Linked DNA regions of Yarrowia lipolytica. The protein of the gene in region 2 interacts with the protein of the main gene of each other region in a pairwise test. Links are inferred from orthologs where the notes say so. Each region holds a gene or a part of one and is shown on either strand. Other genes may lie near its edges.

Region 1 (6,613 bases), about 320 kb from region 2:
GTCGACGACAGAAAATGGCAGCAGAAAACGACGAGGGCAGGGATCGAACAGCCTTCTAATGTGACATGTCACGTAGAGGTCCTATATATCACGGGACACACACAGAAGACCCACACACACGAGGACAGGACACTCGCTCACACAATAGAGAGGAGAGACATGCCTCAAAAGCACCCGTCCGTCACAGGGACATGTGATACCCACGAGACCAAAAAAACAACAAGAAGGATGTGACGCACACATGCGTCTCTGTAGCCTATCCTTTTGTTTTTTTGCTGTCCATCTTTCCCGCCAGCCGTTCGTGTGTTCGTCCGTAATATGGGTGCCTCCCACAAAAGAGATAGAGTGCGCCTTGCCATGCCATGCCATGCCATGCCCGCCGTTTTTTTCGCTTGCCATCACATATCGAACAAGAAGTAGTAGTCATCAGCCAAAATAAGTAGATCCATCCCCAGCCCCCAATAGTAGATCCCCACAAGTATTATCACCGTCGTCTTCTGCCTCCTTGTTGATTGTTTTCCGCACGCCCCATTCCGGTCGCCCCATCATCACACCGCCGATGGTCTCGCCGCTTGCTTGGTCCCATATCCAGCATCCAGCACGCGGTAAAGGGCCAGGTCCGTCCATCCTCCTCCTCTCTCCATCTCGGTCCATCTCTCAAACGCGTCGTCCCTGAAGGGGGGGTTTGTGTCGTTGAATCTGGTAGTGTCGCGGGGTGGTGGTACTCACTCGATCCTCAGAATCGTCGTTGTTGTAGTTCATAATAATACAAACGGGGGATAAAAATACAAGCCTGGGTTAGTAGCTGTCCAAAAATCCCGTCCAAGCCGTGTTCACGCGCCGTAGCGTTCATACTTACCTCCTCACAAGAGATCAAAGAATGTTCAATGGAAAAGTTTTAGTTTGGCAAATTACATATATCAACACATATAGAGTTCAGGTGCATGACAACATCATGATATATCGTGGATGACAAAGAAACGGTGGAAGATGGATGACTACTTTAGCTATCATACTGGGTCCTGTCAACAACCCCTCCCCTACAGCACCCATTCCATACACAGCCCTCTCCTAATAACTCACTCTATTAACAGTATTATATCCTCGTTCTTTCTTCCTCCTCCACCTGGTACCGGTACCTTCTTCTGCCTTCTCTTCATCACAAGCCAGCCTCCCTGTATCCGATGGCATCATTCAAAAGCGTCTTGCTAGTCATCTTCATGCTGCTGTTCTCCATCATCAACTTGACGTGTCGGTGAATGTGAGACACGAAGTCCGTGTAGGCGTACTCGCCCATGTTTCGGTCCTCCACCAGCAGAGACTGGAACTCCATCTCAGCACCATCCAGGTTGGGTCGACACAGCTGAACGTTGAGATGGCTGATGCCCAGAAGACCCTCAAAGTGGGCCACTAGAGCTCGAACCTGCTTGTTGATGTGGCTGTCGACCTCGGGAATGGAGTTCATATAAGGGTCCAGGTCCCGGGTGATGTTGTTGTCCTCACCAAACAGATCGTTAAGCAGCTGGGGAGAAACAGTACTGGGAAGCCATAAATAAAGCTTCTCGCCGTTGAAGAGCATGTATGCACCACCTTCCTCCAGAGAGGCCAGAGAGGGAGCCAGAGAATCGGGCAGAACAAAATGGCCGTTCTCAATAGCACTTCCGTCAATCTCTCGCATGTTATGCAGAGCGAAAAGGTAAGGGTAGAGCATGTAAGAAAACTTGTCCACGTCGCTGTTGTTGGCTTCTCGCAGGTACTGGATTCGTCTGTCCAGAGAAGTCACAGTGTCTCGCAGAAGAGGAGACTTGAGCAGCGCAAGAGACTGGATCAGCAGAGGTCGCAGAGAAGTGGGTAGGAGCAGTTGTGTAGCAGGGAGAACCTCGGTGGTGTTCTTTCGGTAAGAGGCAAACACTTCCACCAGTCGCTCATTGAGACCAAACCGAGCCTCCTTGAGAGTGGTGGAGGTGACCTTGGAAAACAGGTTTCGGGCCATGATGGAGAAGCAAGCATCGGCATCGACAAAGTTAATTGCAGGCTTGAACTGCTCGGTGACTCCAGCAAGCACGTTAATAACTCGCAGACGTCGAGTACCGTCCAGATGCTTATACAGCAGCGAAGTCTGAAAGTGGGCATCCAGCTTGGTGTCGAGCTTTCCGTCGTACGAAAACAGAATGCCGTAAGTGCTGTCGGAGTCGACAGATCCCACATCGGGCTCAATATGCCAGTCGTCGGAGTGGAAGCTGCCGTAATAGGCGGCAACCTGCAGACCCGTGGAGCATCGGACCTTGAGCTTGGCTCCACAAGCTCGAAGAGAAGTCACGGAGTGGGCCAAGTCAGCCATGAACCGCTTGCCGTCTCGAATGGGCACAAAGTTTGGGTAATGCTTGGTGGTTCCGCCAGACTTGGCAGAAATATAGCCTAGAGTGACCAGATCAGTGACACTGCTGGGCATGACAAACACATCCAGACCCACGCCGTCCTTGGCGTACTTGCCCGCCAGCTCGGTGTAGAAAGGGTCCTTGCAGTCAAAGTTCTTGGGCTCCTTGGACGCAGTTTTTCGATTTTCGAGGTTGTTAGGGAAAACACTTCCAGGACCCCAGGTAGGGGTTGATCCGAGAACCAGATGGGCCTTTCCTCCTCCAAACGCAGACAGCACCTTGTGGGCAGTGGAAACAGCTGCTCCAAAGGCAGACTCGGCGTACTTGTAGCCCTCAAACATGGACTGCAGCCGGGGGAGCAGATCTTCAATCACATGCCGCGACTCCTGGGCGTCCACAAACAGACCGTCCTCAAAGGGCACAAAGGGGTCCTTTAGATCATTAGAAACGACCATATGGGGTTTCTCCAGATCCGCATTCAGATTGTAGAACTGCAGAGCGTGGTCGAAGGTGATGATACCAATCTTCTTGGGGGTATCGTCCTCATCAAGGGCTTTTCTGATAGCCTCGGCAGCCAGAGAGGGCAGCTCCTTCTTGATAGCCTCGTCCGACACATCAATGACAAACAGGTGCTTGACGGGCTCTCGAGAGTCTCCCTCGGGGTAGTAAGAGTCGGGAACGACCATGTCGTAGGTGCCAGCAAACAGCTCAGCTCGTTCGGCGACATCGACTCGAGCTCCGTTGTGGTCGGTGGGCTGGAAGTACTCTCCGGGAACTGCATTGGGGAACTGGCACATGTTACAGACGGCTCGAGATCCGCCGTTAGAGAACAGGAACTGCGGGTTAATGAAGGCCATGCATCGTCGACATCGGAAGGGCTCGATCTGCGAGAAGTCGGCCACGGGAACGTCTCGTTCAGCAAAGGGCTTGACCACCATACCGAGGGGCAGCTTAGTCAGAGACCGCAGCTGATCGGAAACTGGCACGTTGTACATGGAGAGACGACAAAAGGGAGGAGCAGACACTCCCTGATCCTCACAGAGATATTCGGCGGTGGCAGGAGGGGGTAGGGTGTTCTGAAACGTTTTGAACACGGGTTTTCGAGCGGTGTATTCTCGCGCATCGTTTCGTCGAGCTGCCAGCGAAGGAATTCCTTGGTTGCCACGCTCCAGAGAAGGGTTTGCTGCGTCGTGGCCGAACCCCTCCTGTTCCGAGGCGTTCAGGCTCATCTGAGCAAAAGAATGGGCCAGAGGGGCTCCATGAGACACAGCAGGGGAGGCAGCATGACCGTAGGCAGGTTGTCCATGAGGAATGGCTGGATTGTGGGCCTCGTAACCGAACTGGGCTCCTCCGTAGGGAGAATCAGCTGCAACTTGGCCGGCAGGAGGAACCCCGTACATGGGCTGTGAGAGGTCCGGCGACATCAGGGGGTTGCCATTGGGCGCATTGGGGTCTGCACCGAGGTCGTGGAAGGCTCTGGCCGATCTTTTTTTCGAAGCCATGGCGTGTTGCAGTGTGTTATCTTTTTTTTTCTTTTCCCAGGCAAGCTGATGACGAACACACTTTCACACCGCTTGCATGTGTGCTGGCTGTTAACTTAGATTCGAGTCGTGGGTCGTGCACGCAGTGGTGTTGGTGTTGGTGTTGGGACTCTGTTTTATTTTATTTTATATTTTATTTTTTTAGGGCTTATTAGTGAAAGAGTCTAATAAATGTGCAGTTACTGAACGCGTCGCGATTTACAATGTATTACAGTAGACACAACAAGTTACACACGACTTGATACCACAAAAAGGAAAGAAATAAGACGAAAAGAAACGAGCAAGAGGTGACCTAACGACCGACGACTAACGACACAAGCGGAGAAACACAACCGACACGAACACCACCTCCCCAACCTACCTCTCTCCTTCCCTCCTTCGCACCTCCCCACACACACACACACTCGACATGGGAGTGTCTGGACTACTACCCCTGCTCAAGCCGATCCAGGCGGCAGCTCACATTTCCGAGTTCAAGGGCCAGCGACTGGCAGTGGACGGGTTTGCATGGTTACACAAGGCCGCGTTTGGAAGCGCCGAAGACCTGGCTCTCAACAGGCCGACAGATCGACCCCAACAGTGGGTCATGCGCAAAGTGGAGTTTCTGAAACGGTGTGGAGTGGACGTGCTAATTGTCTTTGATGGAGGAGCACTGCCTTCCAAGCGTGGGACCGACGAGAAACGACACGCACTACGTGACCAGGCCCACAAGGAAGCCCTTGCATTGATGTCTCGAGGACGAAGATCCGAAGCTGTCAACCTTTTCCAAAAAGCCACCAGAATCACACAGGAAATGGTCCACCAACTGACAGAACTGCTCAAGAGTCAACGTATTCCTTTTGTGGTTGCACCCTACGAAGCAGACGCCCAGCTGGTGTACCTGGAGAAGGCAGGTTACGCCACAGGCATCATTTCGGAAGACTCAGATCTTGTGGTCTACGGAGCACAGATGCTGGTCACAAAGCTGGACCCGAGTGGAGGATGCGTCACAGTTGATGGATCCCGAATCTCCAGCTGCTCAGATCTCGAACTCGGCTCTGAGGTTCCTCTGGAGTACCTGAGATACATGGCTATTCTATCTGGCTGTGACTATTGCGATGGAGTGCCGAACGTGGGTCCTAAACGAGCTGCTCGGTACATTCGACGATGGCAAACTCCCGAGGCTATCATTAAGGCTCTTCGTATGGACGGATACAACTCCTCACCCGACTTTTTAGAACGATTCCATGCTGCCAACTTTACATTTCTCTACCAACGAGTCTACTGCCCCGAGGCTCGTAGGCTGGTACATTTGAATGAGCCTGAAGATGAGCTGGACGAAAAGGTCGACTTTCACATTGGCGCCGAGATTCCACAAGGTCTGGCGCGAGCAATAGCCACTGGACTGGTGCACCCTCGAACTCATAAGACTTTTCCTGCCAACAAGACAGCCAAGCCTACCGATCTACGGGGATTCTTTGCGCCCAAAAATGAGTACACAGGCGATGTCAAGCGACTTCCCGAACAGCTGCGCCGCAAGAAGCCCGTTGTTCTGGTGGCAAAGCCGGTTGACCTGGCTGTGCGAACAGCTTCTGCGGAGAACATGTTGAGTCCAACCCGAACGAAGACGTCCCCCGCGCTTACTTCCAGTCACTTTTTCTCCATCCCTTCGAGTCCCGATCAGGCTGAGAAGGAGAACAAGCCCTTCAACTTCAATACCATGTTGAGTTCAGAGCCTGACCGAAGCGACGATGACATTGAAGAAAGCAGCATCGTGTTTGGCACCCCAAACAAAGACACCACGCTACCGCAGACACCTGTGACTTGTGCCAAGCGGAAGTCTACTCTGTTTGAGGAGTTTGGATACAATGCCTCTACGCCCAAGCGTCGAGTAGTGACTCCTACAGGCTCCTCTGGTGTTGCCAAAAAGCCCACAATCACGCCCACAATCACGCCCAGTTCCACACCGCAAGCGCGTCCCAAGAAGAGCGCCATTTCTCCTCTGACCGTGCAGCGTGTTCCTGGCTCGTCTCAAAGCAATCTCATGAGATTTGCTTACAAGGCCAACTAACCTACAAGTACTAAGCTTCAGGGTTCTAGTTGACCATGCAGCATTACAGCAGCAAGCGCTGATAATCCCACGGGCTTGCTGCGCCCGATATTTAACTAATTTACATGGTCCAATTACAAGGGCCCGACGTTGATTGCAGTCTGAAATAGCAATCTGATTTCCTCCCCCAACGATGGCAGCCCCAAGAGACTCCCTAGCCTTGATTTCTGCTGGTGAACCGGTGCACCGGGGCTTTTGCAGTAGAGTATACACTGGGCACTGTAGAGTATGTCGTGCTTAGACGACGATATACGAGACGCGGTAGGGTGACTGTAGGAGGCATAGATTAGTTGACTTGGAGCGGGTTGCGGGTGTTCCAAACATGTGTTTTCGGTGTTTCCAACGCCGTATATGCGTTGCATGTAACCCCAGGCTCTCTTGACGGCTATTTTGCTTCCAGTGTACCGTCTGACCAATTATCACCATTTGCCCCTTAGTTCGTTAGTTCAGAGGGTGCGTGTACTAACAAACCCCGTTTGGGAAGCGAGGCTCAGAATCTCAAAGTATAATTGCCGGCAAAATTACCAATCTGACACACGCCAAAAAAAGAAGAGCCAAAGGTAGAGCGGGAGGGAAGCGTCAAGAGAAAGAGAGAAAGGTGCTGG
Region 2 (6,293 bases):
TTCGCATCACTTCACACACAGTCAATCTCCAGATCACCTCCATCACCTTGATACACATTCACACTCCACAATGAACTTCGACTATGACTTTCTGCAGTCGCAGCAGAGTCTTCATATGAAGAAGGAGCATCATTCACAGCAGCATCAGAACCAGCAGTCGTCGGCCCAACCGCACCATCCCCACCAAGGATCACAGTACGATGTCAACTACCTGGACATTGGCTACAACGAGCTGGAGCCTCCGTCTACCCCCCAGATGATGCCTACACAGACCAACAATGTGAGTCCCGACACCCTGGCGCGGTTCTCGCGACTGCTCAACTTCTCCTCCACCACCCCCAGTCCCACCAAGCCGCTCAATGACCCCTCACAATCGGACATTTTCCTCCAGCAGCCCCCCACCATGTCGCTGATGGGAGCCATGTCTCCGCCTCACTCGTCCCACCCTCCGGCTGCCGAGTTTGGCCATGCTCACTCGTCCCATCTTCAGCAGAACCCCTTCCTGAACCCTCCCCAGCTCAACTACGATGCCGACGCTCTGGCCTACCTGTCTCCCGAGCCAGGCTTCACTTCTCCTGAAATGGACAACTGGAACAACTACGAGTCTCCCCATGACCACTCCTCTCCCGAGGGACCCCTTGGAGAACCCTTTGACGAGTACGGACTCGGAATCTCGTGGCTGCCCGTCGTCACCATCCCCGAAAACACAGAAACAGAGCAGATCATCGAACAGCAAAAGGTCTCCAACCAGCCTCAGCCTCGAAAGTCCGGCCTACCCCCCGGAAAACTCGAGTCGTTCATTCATGGGCCCTGCGAAGACGGCAAGTTTCTGTGTCTGTACCCGGGCTGTGGCAAGAAGTTTGGACGACGATACAACCTCTGTTCGCACATCCAGACACACCTTGCAGACAGACCGTACTCGTGCTCGTCCTGTGAAGCCTCCTTCGTCAGACAGCACGATCTCAAGAGACACGAGCGCACCCACGCCGTAGTCAAGCCCCACATTTGTCCCTGCGGAAAGGGCTTCAATCGACCAGACGCCCTCAACCGACACAGAGCCCGACAGATCTGCTCTGGAGGCATCGAGGTACCTGGCCAACCCAAGCCATCGCCAGGCAAAAAGGGCCGACCCCGAAAGGTCGAACAACCGATCCAGATGGAACACTATGATTATGCACATACCTCTCCCGACTTTTCGTCTCCAGAGTACCACTCTTCACCGGACTTCGAAGGACATTAGGAAACAGTGAGATACAGAACGAGAAAGAGAGAGAGAGAGAGCACTAACATATATTTATAATGTGGATTGGTTTTGTTTATATGCTTCATTCCTTCATTCTATATACTATTTATTACATTTAATTGAGTCAATTCAAGGAGTAATTACATTGCATCTACACAGCTATCGCGATATCATATCATCACCCCACTCGCACAGCTCATACAGTGCCTCCTTGAAACTTTTTAGCTCCAAAGAACATATATTCCACTGTATCGTACAACCATGTCTCACTAACGCCAGATACGGGGTCGCATGCAAGGGAGTGGTGTACTTGAGACAATACAGTGTATAGAAGACACCACTGTATAACTCCCAGCTCGACAATCCAACAATACAAATTAATCTTACAACATTACTTAACCCTAAGAGGAGGCAGCCACAGACAACTTCTGAAGATGAGACATGAAAGTCTGCAGAGACACATCGTCAGTAAGCACCACGGCGCTGCCAGGAGTGCCGTAGCCACTGTCGCTCTGGTGGGTGTTGGAGGGATTGAGCTTGGACAGCAAGAAACGGGCCTGGGAACCTCCAGCATCAGTGTCAATGAATCGAGGCAAAGGGAATCGGTCAACCAGCAAGTCCTGGACCTCCATTCGAGGGGCCTGCAGAAGCTCAGCAAAGTTGGCGTACTCCTCCTTTTCTTGGTAGCCCTGGTTTCGCCAGTTGGCAATGGTTTCTCCGTGGAAAATGAGAATGTGGAAAAAGGTGTCCAGCAGCAGAATGTGATCGGGCTTGATGGACACCGAATCCAGCAGTACAGGCACGGGCTGCTCCTGCTCCAGAGAGTACGACAGCAGGGTGGGCTGGATCATGATAAGCGAGTTGTTGAGATTCTCTCGGTTCAGGCAGTGTCGGTAGAAGGCAGTCTCATCGGGCGAGTTGTTGAACACCTGCAGGAACTGCGATCGTCGTAGATGGAACATAAACTGGGGGTACAGCGAGAAGTTGTGGGCGAGTCGGAACGAAGACGCGTCGTCTTTTCTGTAGTCAGCAAACTTTTGGCATAGACGGATCAGCATCTTGTCGGTCCATCGCATAATGTCGTTGCCGTCCTCGGTCTCGGACTTGAAAATGGCAATTCGAGTCATAAGCACAGCAGCAGCCTCCTGGTCAAAGGAGCTGGCAATGTGGGGATCGCCACCGGGCACAAGAGCCTTGGCAACAGTGGTCACACGAAGACGTTGCTGAGTGGACGAGTGGTGGTAATGCGTCAGGAACTGCACGTATCCAGGGGGGATCTGGCCTGCAGGAGTGCCCTGCTGCTGGGCCACTTCGAAGAAAGTCGCGTAGGTGTGAGCAGGAGTGATGGAGCACATCTTCCACGAAGAAGTCTGGCCAATACCAATCTCGGTGTCAGCTACACTGGGGTTCTTCTTGTTCATTGAAACGGCGTGGCCAATCAGACCAGATACCTTGAGCTCCTTGGAGGGCACGACATCAAAGGTGGCGTTGAAACCCATCTGGAGGAAGTTGTTGGCGTCTCGGGCAAACATCTTGGTCAGCGAGGACTTGAAGATGGATGTGGAGAAGGCATCGCAGAGCACAAGAGCTCCACCGGTGGAGTTGGGCAGAGATCGCATCTCGTGCATACCAATCTGGTCGTAACAACCGGCGAAAATGTCAACGGCCTGGCCATGGGTGGTGGCTCGCTTGGCCAGACCCTCGTAGAACTTTGTGGCAGCCTTGGAGTGCTTGGCTGTGTCCTTTTCAATTTCGTGGTGAGATCGGATGGGCTCCTTGAGCTCGGGACCCACAATCATACCAGGACCCTCAGTGGGGGCACCACCAGCAAACAGCATGACTCGTGCACCGCAGTTGGGAAAGGAAGTCTCCAGCAGGCCGAGAGCAATTCCGAGAGCCACACCGGTACATCGGATGGGTCGTCGGTCGGCAGCCACGGGCCAGGGGTCCTTCTGCAGACCCTCCAGAACGTTGGTGAGGGCGAACTCGGCGTTCTGCAGAGGCAGGAGGAACCGGGCAGCGGCTCCCTGGGCCTGGGGATGTCCTCCCTGTTGGGGGACTCGGTGACCAATAGGCTGGTTGAGACCCAGCTGTTCCTGCACCTGCTTCGCAGTGTAATCTCGGTTACCTCGGAAGACGAAGCTCTTGCCGCACTCTCGGTAGCCAATCTCGTGGACCTGAGCCATGGCGCCAAAGGTGATGAGACCGACGAGAGCGTTCTCGGGGATCAGAGAAAGAGTGGCCACAAGGTGATCCTTGAGAGCAGTCAGGTTCTCGGCGTCCAGACAGGTGTCAACCACAAACAGGAAGATGGGGTTGGGAGCAGGTCGGGACAGAACGTACTCAACAGTGGTGCACTCGGGTCGCAGCTCGTGGGGCAAGTTTTCGGGAGTAATGTCTCGGTACTGAGGAGGCAGCTGGTTTCTAGACAGACAGAAAGGACAGACCCAGGCTCGGGCTCGCAGATCAACCTGGCAGAAGGAGTTGAGCACAGCTCGACAGGGGGGTCGGCATGCAATGGGCTCATACTGCAGTACGGGGAGGTTGGGCTTCTCCTTCAGAGGAGTGTACAGAGCCGAGATGGGAACGACGGTTCTGGAAGCCTCAATTCGGGTAGAGGGAATGCAATTCCAGGAGAATCGCACTCCGTCCTTCTCTTCGAATTCTTCAAAGTCCTGGGTTAGTACGAAACGGAAACGGGTAACGGGAGTAGCCGCAGGTCGAGGACGACGCGCGACGTGACCATGCGTGTCACTTGCCATCGCAGTGGAAGACACCACCTGGATCCAAGCGGAAGCAAGTAGCTGTAGTTGCAATCACGACACAACAGCGCGCCAAGCTGACACCGTTACGTGATGTTAGGTAGGCCACGAAAAGCACATGGACACAAACACAGCGTAGCGTACCAGCTCCAAGCTGCTGACACAGAAACAATCAGTATACTTGTCACACAATTGTAACATTGTCACAAACTGCCACATCAATGTTTGTACTAAACACCGTGTAACGGGCACACGAATACCTGTCCTAGTCGGTTGATAAAATGGCTGATTCAATAGTGCAACACTGGCGCAAAGATCACGTCATCCAGAGGTCCTAATCACATTGCTTTCGTCTGTGTCACACCATCTCTTCTGTGTCTTTTGTTGCTCATCAAATCCATCCCCCGTGTCTTTTCATATTGGCGATCAACCCCACACTAAGGGATTCGATTGGTCGGTTTGCAAGAGACACGGAGCCATGTGTCGGCCATCGGTTTGTGTCATCAAATCAACCCAGTTCGCCAGCATCGCCCATCGCGTCGCCTTGTCACACTCACCATTTGATTGTTGTGTCGAATAGGCCACCTAAGCAAAGTGAACTCAATGTTGAAAATGCCAGGTCGTTGGTAACAGGTGGGACATTCACGTCCGAACCTAAATGAGTGGTGGGAGAATGTGTGACAACGACAAGAGTGGGAATGGAGGGTCTATATATAGGGAATATTTTGGTAACGACAAGACGAATGTAATGCGGAAATTGGAATGCAGATGCACGATGATTATTCAGGGCCAAAAATCATCCTGTCTAGCGCCACCCAACTGCCCACATTCAGACCTCCTCACCCCAACTAACACGTCTTACGTACACACTTACTGTAACTTCCTCCACACCTAATTCACGTACAGTACAAACTTGTGCATACAAGACAAGAACAAGAGACACACATTGTCAATACCGCACGTCTGTCAAACCCACAGAAAGACACCCACGGCAGGATTCTCAACGATGGAAGTCGCCACTCTCGCCTGTGGAGCAATTGCTCGGATAGTGGTCTACCACCTATTCCCGTCCGTGCCCGCAACTCTAGATGGCCATGTGGAAATCTCCACGCCCGTCACCTCCTTCAAACGACTCCAGGAGGGCCTGTATCTCTACAAGCAAGGAATCGATCCCTACGACGGCGGAATCTTCCACCAGTCGCCACTGCTGCTCGGCGCAGTGTCGGCCGTGTCGAAAATCGTGCCCGAAACCATCGCAATCAACATTCTATACGTGCTGGCGGACCTGACGGCGGCATGGGCCCTCGCTCAAACCGCCCAGAGAGCCGCCACCACCATCAAATACGTCTTCAAGAAGAAAGATACAAAAGAGCCGCTGCCGTTTGCTCCTTGGATCATCGCAGCAATCTACCTCTTCAACCCCCTGCTGTTTCTGTCGTCGGCAGCTAAATCCACAGCTGTGTTCAACAACGCTGCCATCTGCTACACCCTGGCCGCTGCCACCCACGGCCACTTTCTGACTGCAGCCGCCTCTCTTGCATTGGCCACTAACCTTTCATATTACCCCATCTACCTGGCTCCTCTTGTGTCTCTCCTGCTCCATGGAAACAGCGGAACGCCACTCAGAACAAACAAGGCCCAGTACGGCTTCCGGTTCTGCCTGCTGTCGGCTTCTTACACCGCAGCTATCCTGCTGCTGTCCCAGGCCATTGCTGGATCCTGGAACTTCCTAGGAGCTGTCTATGGTACTATTCTTACTGGTAGAGACCTCACTCCTAACATTGGCTTGTGGTGGTACTTTTTCACGGAGATGTTTGACTTCTTTCAGCCCTTCTTCACCGGAGTGTTCCAAATCCACGTCTTTCTCTACGCCGCCCCCATCACTCTTAGATTCAGCAGCTTCCCTCTGTTTGCCATCACTCTCTATCTCGGTCTGGTGGCCCTGTTCAAGGCCTACCCCGATACTGCCGATGTGGGCATCTTCTTCTCGCTGGTGCCCTTCTTCAGACCGCTTTTCCCGCTTCTGAGGTACCCCATTCCGGCTTTTCTGGCGCTGCTATACTCTTCGGTGCTGCTGCCCACCTTCTTCCACATGTGGATCTACCTGGGCTCAGGAAACGCAAACTTCTTCTACGCCATCACGCTGGTGTATGCGCTTGGAATGACCGTGTGCATTTCCGACCTTACTTGGGCCATGCTTCGCCTGGAACATGACGGAGGAGAGGACCCCAACCTGTCCCAAATCTAGATATCATTAATGAAACGAATTATGAATAAGAATGATCATG
Region 3 (7,545 bases), about 1.6 Mb from region 2:
TTCGTCGAGAAACTCGAGTGGCGGGGGTTCGGGCAGTGACCTTGTGGCCCTTGTTGGGTCCAATAGCGATTCCTTATGTTAGTTTTGATTTTGTGGTTGTCTCGTCAACAATGTGCTCGTAGACACTGACCTGGATGAATTACTGAGTGACTAACCAGTGTGGACGAACAGAGTGGGCAACGAACCAACAACAAATGCCAATCCATCATCCAGAAAGCCGCGACATATCTTCCTTCAAACATCTTGGTGGTACTGACAGTTGTTGTGTCGCCACTCTGAGTGAGTGGTCCTCACATGACCTTTGCAATCACCAAATATGTTCTCTCGTCGACATCCTGTTCGTCAAATCACGTTCTCGTCCATCCGTCAATGCTGCTCGCTCCGTCTCCCATCGTCGTCTGTCATAACTTACCGGACTTGGTAGCCATTTTTGTATGTGTCGTGAAGTTGTACAAGAAAAGAAGACGAGAATATCAGGATGAGAAGTTTGCATGGTCCCAATCGGGGTGCGTGTAGAATTGAGAACGTAAGAGCTTATTTCCTGGTCTGAGTGGGTTTCCAAAAAGGAAGGCCGGGTAAAACTTAAAAGTCACGTGACTGCTGTCGAGATGATTTAATGTCAGTAAAATGTAAAAATTCATCATGTCATTAAGATGGTAAGATCACTGGTGTAATTTTCTGTTGCAAGACCATTTAGGGGCCTCGTTTTTCTATTCATTGGTGTTGTCATGTGGGTCTGTACTGGAAGCTTTCGGGCATGCATAATCGGACACTGACTTGACTTAGGTTCAGTATGGCTCGATAACTGCTCGATCCTACAGACTTCATACCACTTACACACAAATGCAGCCTGCTACTAAGAAGGAAGAATTTGAGGACGACGATGAACCTGATGCTTGGTGAGTGTTGCTTTGGCTGGGTGAGATTGAATTGGTTGTTTGAGTATGAGAGGGAGCCTCTGATCTTGGCCATCCTGTGATCATCCTGAGTCCAATACGCCAACTAACAGGATCCATGATCATTCAGGTCAACTGTAACTAACACAGGGACGCTCGCATCAATAAGACCGGGTGTGCTGATGAGAATATGGCTCTCACTGATTGCTACCAGGACACCAAGGATTGGCGAAAGTGCACTGACGAGATGAAGGCCTTTAAGGACTGTTGGGCAGCTCACAAGCAAGATGATCGAACCCAGACCAAGCAGATGTAGTGGTTGCAACCATTACTCTCGTCCTAACAATTGTACATAGCTAATAACCATTCTCCTGTATTGATGATTGAATATGGGTTCTTTTAAAATTAGTCTATCTATTGTACTTACTGTGGTGTACATACCATACACTCTGGCACACAGTCTATGCCTAGAAAGCAGCATCCGCATCAATGATTTTTCCCTCGGATAGAGACTCGGGCTCTTCCTGACCCCCAATAGCTTCTGACTTGATCTCGAGCTCGGCCTTGGGCTCAGCTTTTGCCACTCCAGCATCAGTAACTTTCACCTCAGGCTCAGGACCAGGTGTGGAGTCCTCAGGGGACTTTACATCAGTCTTGGGCTCTTCGGACGCCTTTACCGGCTTCTTAGCGTTTGCCTGCTTTCGCTTTTGCCTCCTTGCTCGATTTTTGTTGGTCTTCTCTGCATCCTTCTGCTGCTGTTCTTCCCTTCGTTTCAGAAACTCGTCACGCTCGGTATCCTTCTGAGCAGCTTCATTGATATACTTCAGTCGCTCGGCCTCCTTGTGTCTAGCGTGTTTATACACATGGAACTCTCCGGATCCTGCTCCTGCTGTAGATCCAGTAAAGGTGTAGATGACGTCTGGAGGAGGCGCCACTGATGGTGGGGGCGGTTTTGCTGTGGAAATTTCCTGTGTAGGGTTTGCTAGAAGTTTCTTGAGCTCCGATGCGTTTGCGTTGGTCTTTTTCTGTCCAGGCTTAGTGATCCTGGACATGTTAGTTGTTGATGTTTATAATGTTGAGGTTCGATCAAATATTTTGGACAGTTGGTTATCCTGCACCTTTAGCGTTCAGGTTATCTGTCTGTGGTTGAATGAAATGTACCAGAAGATGAGATGGGTGAGCTTAGATCACACTTTTTCAAGTAATATATATATAATATATATATTATCATGAAGTCACGTGCTTTATTGTCAACCATTGGTAAGGCGTCTACCTATACCCCCAATCCATAATCACATTCTCCAGCACCGTTGATGTATCCCTGCCTTGACTATCAAAAACCATGAATTACAGTAGCTACAGCAGCTGCACCATCTCACTCTCTGAAGTCTAAAAAGAACACGTCCAACTAACTGGGAACTGCAACTACCAGTGGAGGTAGTGGGCTAAATAAGCGCCACTAAACAGCCTTGAGAGGTGCGAATTTACAATTGAGACCGAATAAAAACACTTATAAACAACAATGCCATTGTCATAGCAGCAACCTATCTAGTTCCTTCCCCTAATCACCCTAACCTCGCAATCCCCCTCATCGTTGCTAACCTTCGAAAGCTCACTGTATGTACCCTAACCCTGGGCCACGTCACCTCACCTCCCACCTCGCGGCTTGATCCACGTTACACCACCACCAACAATGAAGCTCAAGGAAATTGACAGAACGGCCACCTTTGCGTGGTCGCCCAACAACTTGCGCATTGCTACCGGAACCGTGGCTGGTACCGTGGATGCTGACTTTTCGTCTTCATCTCAGCTGGAGATCTGGGACGTGGATCTCATGGACCGATCCTCCGAGGGATTCCGTCTTACCAAGCCCGCCGTGTCTATCTCTGCCGATACGCGTTTCCACGATCTCGTCTGGCACAACACCGGCAAGCACAGCCTGATCGTCGGAGCCACTGAGAGCGGCTCCCTCGAGGTGTGGGAGGCTGACAACATCAAAGACTCCTCCACGTCTGTGTCTGTCAAGGAGCACTCGGGCCCTATCAAGACCCTGCAATTCGACCCCCACAACCCCACCAGACTGGTTTCCGGAGGCACCAAGGGTGAGATCTTTGTGTGGGACTTGTCGGACCCCAAAAAGCCCATTGCAAAGAAGCTCGGCACCGACAACAAGGCCGGCGACATTGAGTCTTTGGCCTTCAACAACATCACCAGAAACATTCTCGCCACCTCATCGTCCAATGGTATCACCACCATCTGGAACGTGGACCAGAACAAGGAACTTACGCGTGTCAAGCACGACAAGCCTGTTTCCCACGTTGTCTGGCACCCCTCCAAACCCACCAAGCTGATCACAGCCGTGGCTGATGACGCCGAGCCTGTCATGCTCATCTGGGACCTCAAGAACGCAAATGCACCCGAGGGTGTGCTGCAAGGCCACTCCAAGGGTATCTTGTCTGTCGACTGGTGCCAGCTGGACCCCCGGTTCCTGCTGTCGTGTGGTAAGGATAACCGAACCCTGCTGTGGAACCCGGACACCCACGAGTGTCTCGGTGAGTACGGTGCTGCTCAGAACTGGACCTTCAAGACTAAGCTCAATGAACGAACCCCCGATCTGTTTGCTACCGCGTCGTTCGAGGGCAAGATTGTCATTCAGACTCTGCAGGACGTGAATGGAGGGGACGCTCCTGCCCAGGAGGGCGACTTTTTCCAAAACCTCGGCACCCAGTCGCAGGCCAAGATTTCGCTCAAGCAGGCCCCCTCATGGCTGCAGCGACCCGTGTCCAACTCGTTTGGATTCGGAGGAAAGATTGTCACTGTCACAACCACCGACGGCAAGAGTACTGTACAAGTTGGAAAGTTTGTGGGCGACAAGGTCGACACTGAAAGCATCGAGGTTGTTCTGAAGGGAGACCTAACCTCGGCATTTGACGAGGTCAAGGGCGCCGAGTGGAAGGTTCTCGAGGCTCTCAGCAAGGGCACTGACGAAGTCCGATCTTTCCTGGACATTCCCGTCATGAAGGAGGAGCCTGCCGTGGAGGATGACTCTGAAGATGTTTTCAGCAAGATGTCTCCTTCCGGTGCCTTCTCTCTAGAGTCTTCCGACCCCATCAATCAGGCCATCATCAACGGCAACCTCTCTACTGCCGTTGATCTGTGTCTTAAGGAGGACCGGCTTCTGGACGCCTTTGCTCTGGCTGAGAAGGCCTCTGATGCCGTCAAGACCAAGGTTCAGAACGCATACTTTGCTAAGCAGACCTCCAGCACTGCTCGACTTCTCAACGCTGTCAACACCAACAAGCTTGACGACGTCGTTGAGAACGCTAATCTCAAGGATTGGAAGGAAATTCTGGCTCTTCTATACACTTACGGCGGAGCTCAGTTTGGCGATCTGGCTGCTGCTCTTGGTGACCGACTTCGAGAGTCCGACCGAGACAATGCCGCCACCTGTTACCTTGTGTCTGGCAAGCTCGACAAGGTCTCTGGTCTGTGGGAGTCTGAGATCACTACACGAGAGAAGGAGCTGACCAAGGACAATGTGGCTCCTTACACTGCCCACTTCTCCGCTCTCAAGGAGTTCATCGAGAAGATCTCCGTCTTCCGAAAGGCTACCAACGCCGTGGACTCTGGAACTGTGGATGGTCTTTACAACAAGTACCGAGAGTTCGCCAACATTGTGGCTTCCCAGGGCAACCTGGAGCTTGCTCAGCAGTTCCTTGCTCTTCTGCCTGCATCCTTCGAGGGTGTTGGTCTTGAGCGAGAGCGACTCAACAAGGCTGCCAAGCCCTCCGTTGCCACCACTGCCACTAGCAAGGCCTCTGCCTACGGAAAGCCTTCTTATGGCAGTGCTACCCCCCAGGCTTCTGCTTACACGCCTACCGCTTCTGCCTATGGTTCCATGTATGCTCCTGCTGTCCCTGCCGCCGCTGCTCCTGCAGCCGCTGCTCCCCCACCCACTGCTGCTGCTGTGCCTCCTTCCCCTGCCAAGAACATGTACGCTCCCCAGCCTCCTGCTCCTGTCACTGGTTTCGCTCCTGCAGCTCAGTCTCCTGGAGCTCCCCAGCAAAACACACACAACCCCTACAACCCCACTCCTCAGACTAATGCTTATGCTCCTCAGGGTAACGCCTACAGTGCTGCTCCCCAGCAGAACACCTACGGAAGGTCTACTCCCGGCGGAGGTCCTGTTCGAACCACAGCTCCTCGTCACGACACTGCTGGCTACAATGATCTGCCTGCAGGTTCTGTCCCTCCCCCTAAGAAGTCAGCTCCTAGCCCGGGTCCTATCTCGTCTGCCTATGCTCCCCCCACCCCTGCTGCTCCCTCAGCTCCCCCTGCTGGTGGTCCCCGACCTCCCTCTGTGAATCGAGTCACCTCTCCCGGTGTGCCTAGCGGAGGTGTAAACGCCTATGGCTTCCCTATTGGAGGTGCACCCTCTCCTTATGGAGCCCAGGCTGCGTACGGAGCTCGACCCCCTGTGCCTGCCGTGGTGTCTCCTCCCCCTCCTAACCCCTACGCTCCTGCCCACTCGCCTGCTCAGAACAATGTCCAGCCTGCTGTTAACCCCTACGCTCCCGCCCCCGGCGCCGTGGTTTCTCCTCCTCCCGTACACGCTGGTATTGTGCCTCCTCCTGCTCAGCGATCTGCTCCCAGCAACCCCTACGCCCCTGCTCCTGGCGCCGGTGCTCCTCCTGCTAGCAACCCTTATGCCCCCCCTACTGGTGGCTTCACTGGAGCTCCTGCTCCTCACGCAGGTGGAGGCTACACTGCTCCTCCTCCTGCTCAGGTTGCTCCTCCTCCCGCTGGTCCTCCTCGAAACAGCGTGGCTCCTCCCCCCGGAGGCCCCGCTCGAAACCCAGTGCCTTCTTCGCCTGCTCCCCCACCTGCAGCCGCCAAGCACCCTGCAGGAGACCGAACACACATCCCTGCCACCTCGCGGCCCATCTTCGACACCCTGTCCACGCAGTGGGCTGGTCTGAAACCTCACATTCCTGAACAGTATTCGAAGCACGTGCGGGATGCTGAGAAGCGTCTCAACATTCTGTATGACCATCTGAACAACGACGACGCCCAGCCCGAGATGGTTGAGGATCTGCTGAAGCTGTCCAACGCCATTGCCCAGCGGGATTTCCCCACTGCCCAGGCTCTGCAGCTTCAAATTGCCACCGCTCGACCCGATGAGTGTGGCAAGTGGATGGTTGGTCTCAAGCGATTTGTTGAAATGGCTGCTGCCGTCAGGACTTGGTAGGATGTTATATGATAGTTAATGAATGTAGAATTAGAATGGTGTGTGGGTGTAGATGAGCAGACATGTCGAACACAGAGGTTGATTAACACCGTAACGGATGAACTCTTGAGTCGAGCGTTCATGAGATGAATTGTCCCGTCATATCATTCCTTTCCAGTTATATTTAGAACTGCAACACAGTATGTACTATCTTGTAGTACAAGTACATACTGAACAGTATATATAGAAGTGTACAGTCGTTATCCCGGTATTAAATTAATCTATTGTTAAAGAGTAAAATGCATGAAGCTTGCAACGATAATCAAACAGAAGGCCATGAGCATCTTGACCACGAGCATATCAGTCTGAGGAGCGGCACTCTTCGCCTTACCCTGACAGCCGTTGCATTGGAACTGGTCCATAGGCACATAAGGCTGGGGAGAGTAGATTCCAAACTGGTATCGGTTGAATGAGGCCAAGTAACCAGCACTGGCAACAGCATTCATATCCTCGTTAGCATCATATATGTAGAGCTGGTAGTTGGAGTTGATGAGAGGAGTGTCATCGGTGTTGTTGTCCGAGTACTGACTGGTGTCCCACACCACTGAGGTCTCCGTTGCACTCTGGTTGGCAGCAATGGTGTAGTAGTGCCTGTTCTGGGAACAGTATGCTTCAATATTGATTGCCGATGGAGTCACTGAGAGAGAGGTGTAGTTCCACACAAATGTGGCTTGCTCGCCGAGCTTGATGTAGGTGGAGGTGGTGGCCTCGGGGGTAAGCAAATCTACACCACCAGCAGGGAGTCGAGGGTCGATAGAGGTGGAGAACTTAGAAGTGGTCGAGGATTTGTCTTCTGTCTTGTCGCTAGATTTGTTGTCATTGTCGTTAGATTTGTTATCGTTATTGTCCTTGCTGTCCGACTTGTTGTTATCCTTGTCGTTGTTGTCGCCAGACTTGTTATCCGAGCCGTTCGTAGTCTTGGAATCGTCAGCGCTCTTGGTCGACGACTTGTCATCTTTTTGTGTGGCTGACGCACTCTGTTGTTGAGTCTTAGAGGCTTGCGACTGTGAGGATTTCTGCCCGGTGGTGGCTGTGGATTTGTCGTTGTTGTTGTTGTTGTTGTTATCACCGTCTGCTGCCAGGGCAGCGGCGGCCACCAGCGCCAAAACGTATACCGAAAACTTCATCGTGCCTAGTTGATGTGTTAAGTGAGTACTGTGTCAAACTGGTGATATTATTGATGGGACTAAATAGAGGTTGGGATATAAATAGATACATACTGTACGTTTTGGGTAGTGGAAATACACTGGAAGTTAATTTCCCCAGAGGCTAAAAAGTAGCGCTCCAAGCTCCCAAAATGTAGAAACCTCCCTTGAATAGGTGAATATATAGAAATTGATGCGCAAGTTGGTCTTATACTGG

The links.
Region 1: the proteins of YALI1_E20269g (region 2) and YALI1_E17069g interact in binary tests that used the Saccharomyces cerevisiae proteins (3 or more experiments, as listed by UniProt). The link is inferred for Yarrowia lipolytica from reciprocal best matches to the Saccharomyces cerevisiae genes SEC23 and SFB3.
Region 3: the proteins of YALI1_E20269g (region 2) and YALI1_E35988g interact in binary tests that used the Saccharomyces cerevisiae proteins (3 or more experiments, as listed by UniProt). The link is inferred for Yarrowia lipolytica from reciprocal best matches to the Saccharomyces cerevisiae genes SEC23 and SEC31.

Annotation. Positions count from the first base shown.
Region 1 is NC_090774.1:1,704,193-1,710,805, reverse strand, and holds YALI1_E17069g (uncharacterized protein), read right to left. Parts: upstream 3,881-6,613; coding exon 1,160-3,880; downstream 1-1,159. Other genes in the region: YALI1_E17100g (uncharacterized protein), read right to left, coding at 730-762; YALI1_E17065g (uncharacterized protein), read left to right, coding at 4,329-5,969. UniProt on the Saccharomyces cerevisiae protein: Component of the COPII coat, that covers ER-derived vesicles involved in transport from the endoplasmic reticulum to the Golgi apparatus.
Region 2 is NC_090774.1:2,022,872-2,029,164, forward strand, and holds YALI1_E20269g (uncharacterized protein), read right to left. Parts: upstream 4,006-6,293; coding exon 1,645-4,005; downstream 1-1,644. Other genes in the region: YALI1_E20229g (uncharacterized protein), read left to right, coding at 71-1,240; YALI1_E20279g (uncharacterized protein), read left to right, coding at 5,012-6,253. UniProt on the Saccharomyces cerevisiae protein: Component of the coat protein complex II (COPII) which promotes the formation of transport vesicles from the endoplasmic reticulum (ER).
Region 3 is NC_090774.1:3,596,275-3,603,819, forward strand, and holds YALI1_E35988g (uncharacterized protein), read left to right. Parts: upstream 1-2,589; coding exon 2,590-6,144; downstream 6,145-7,545. Other genes in the region: YALI1_E35963g (60S ribosomal protein eL36), read right to left, coding at 1-72, 413-428; YALI1_E35971g (uncharacterized protein), read left to right, coding at 844-899, 1,047-1,212; YALI1_E35982g (uncharacterized protein), read right to left, coding at 1,364-1,948; YALI1_E36036g (uncharacterized protein), read right to left, coding at 6,411-7,310. UniProt on the Saccharomyces cerevisiae protein: Component of the coat protein complex II (COPII) which promotes the formation of transport vesicles from the endoplasmic reticulum (ER).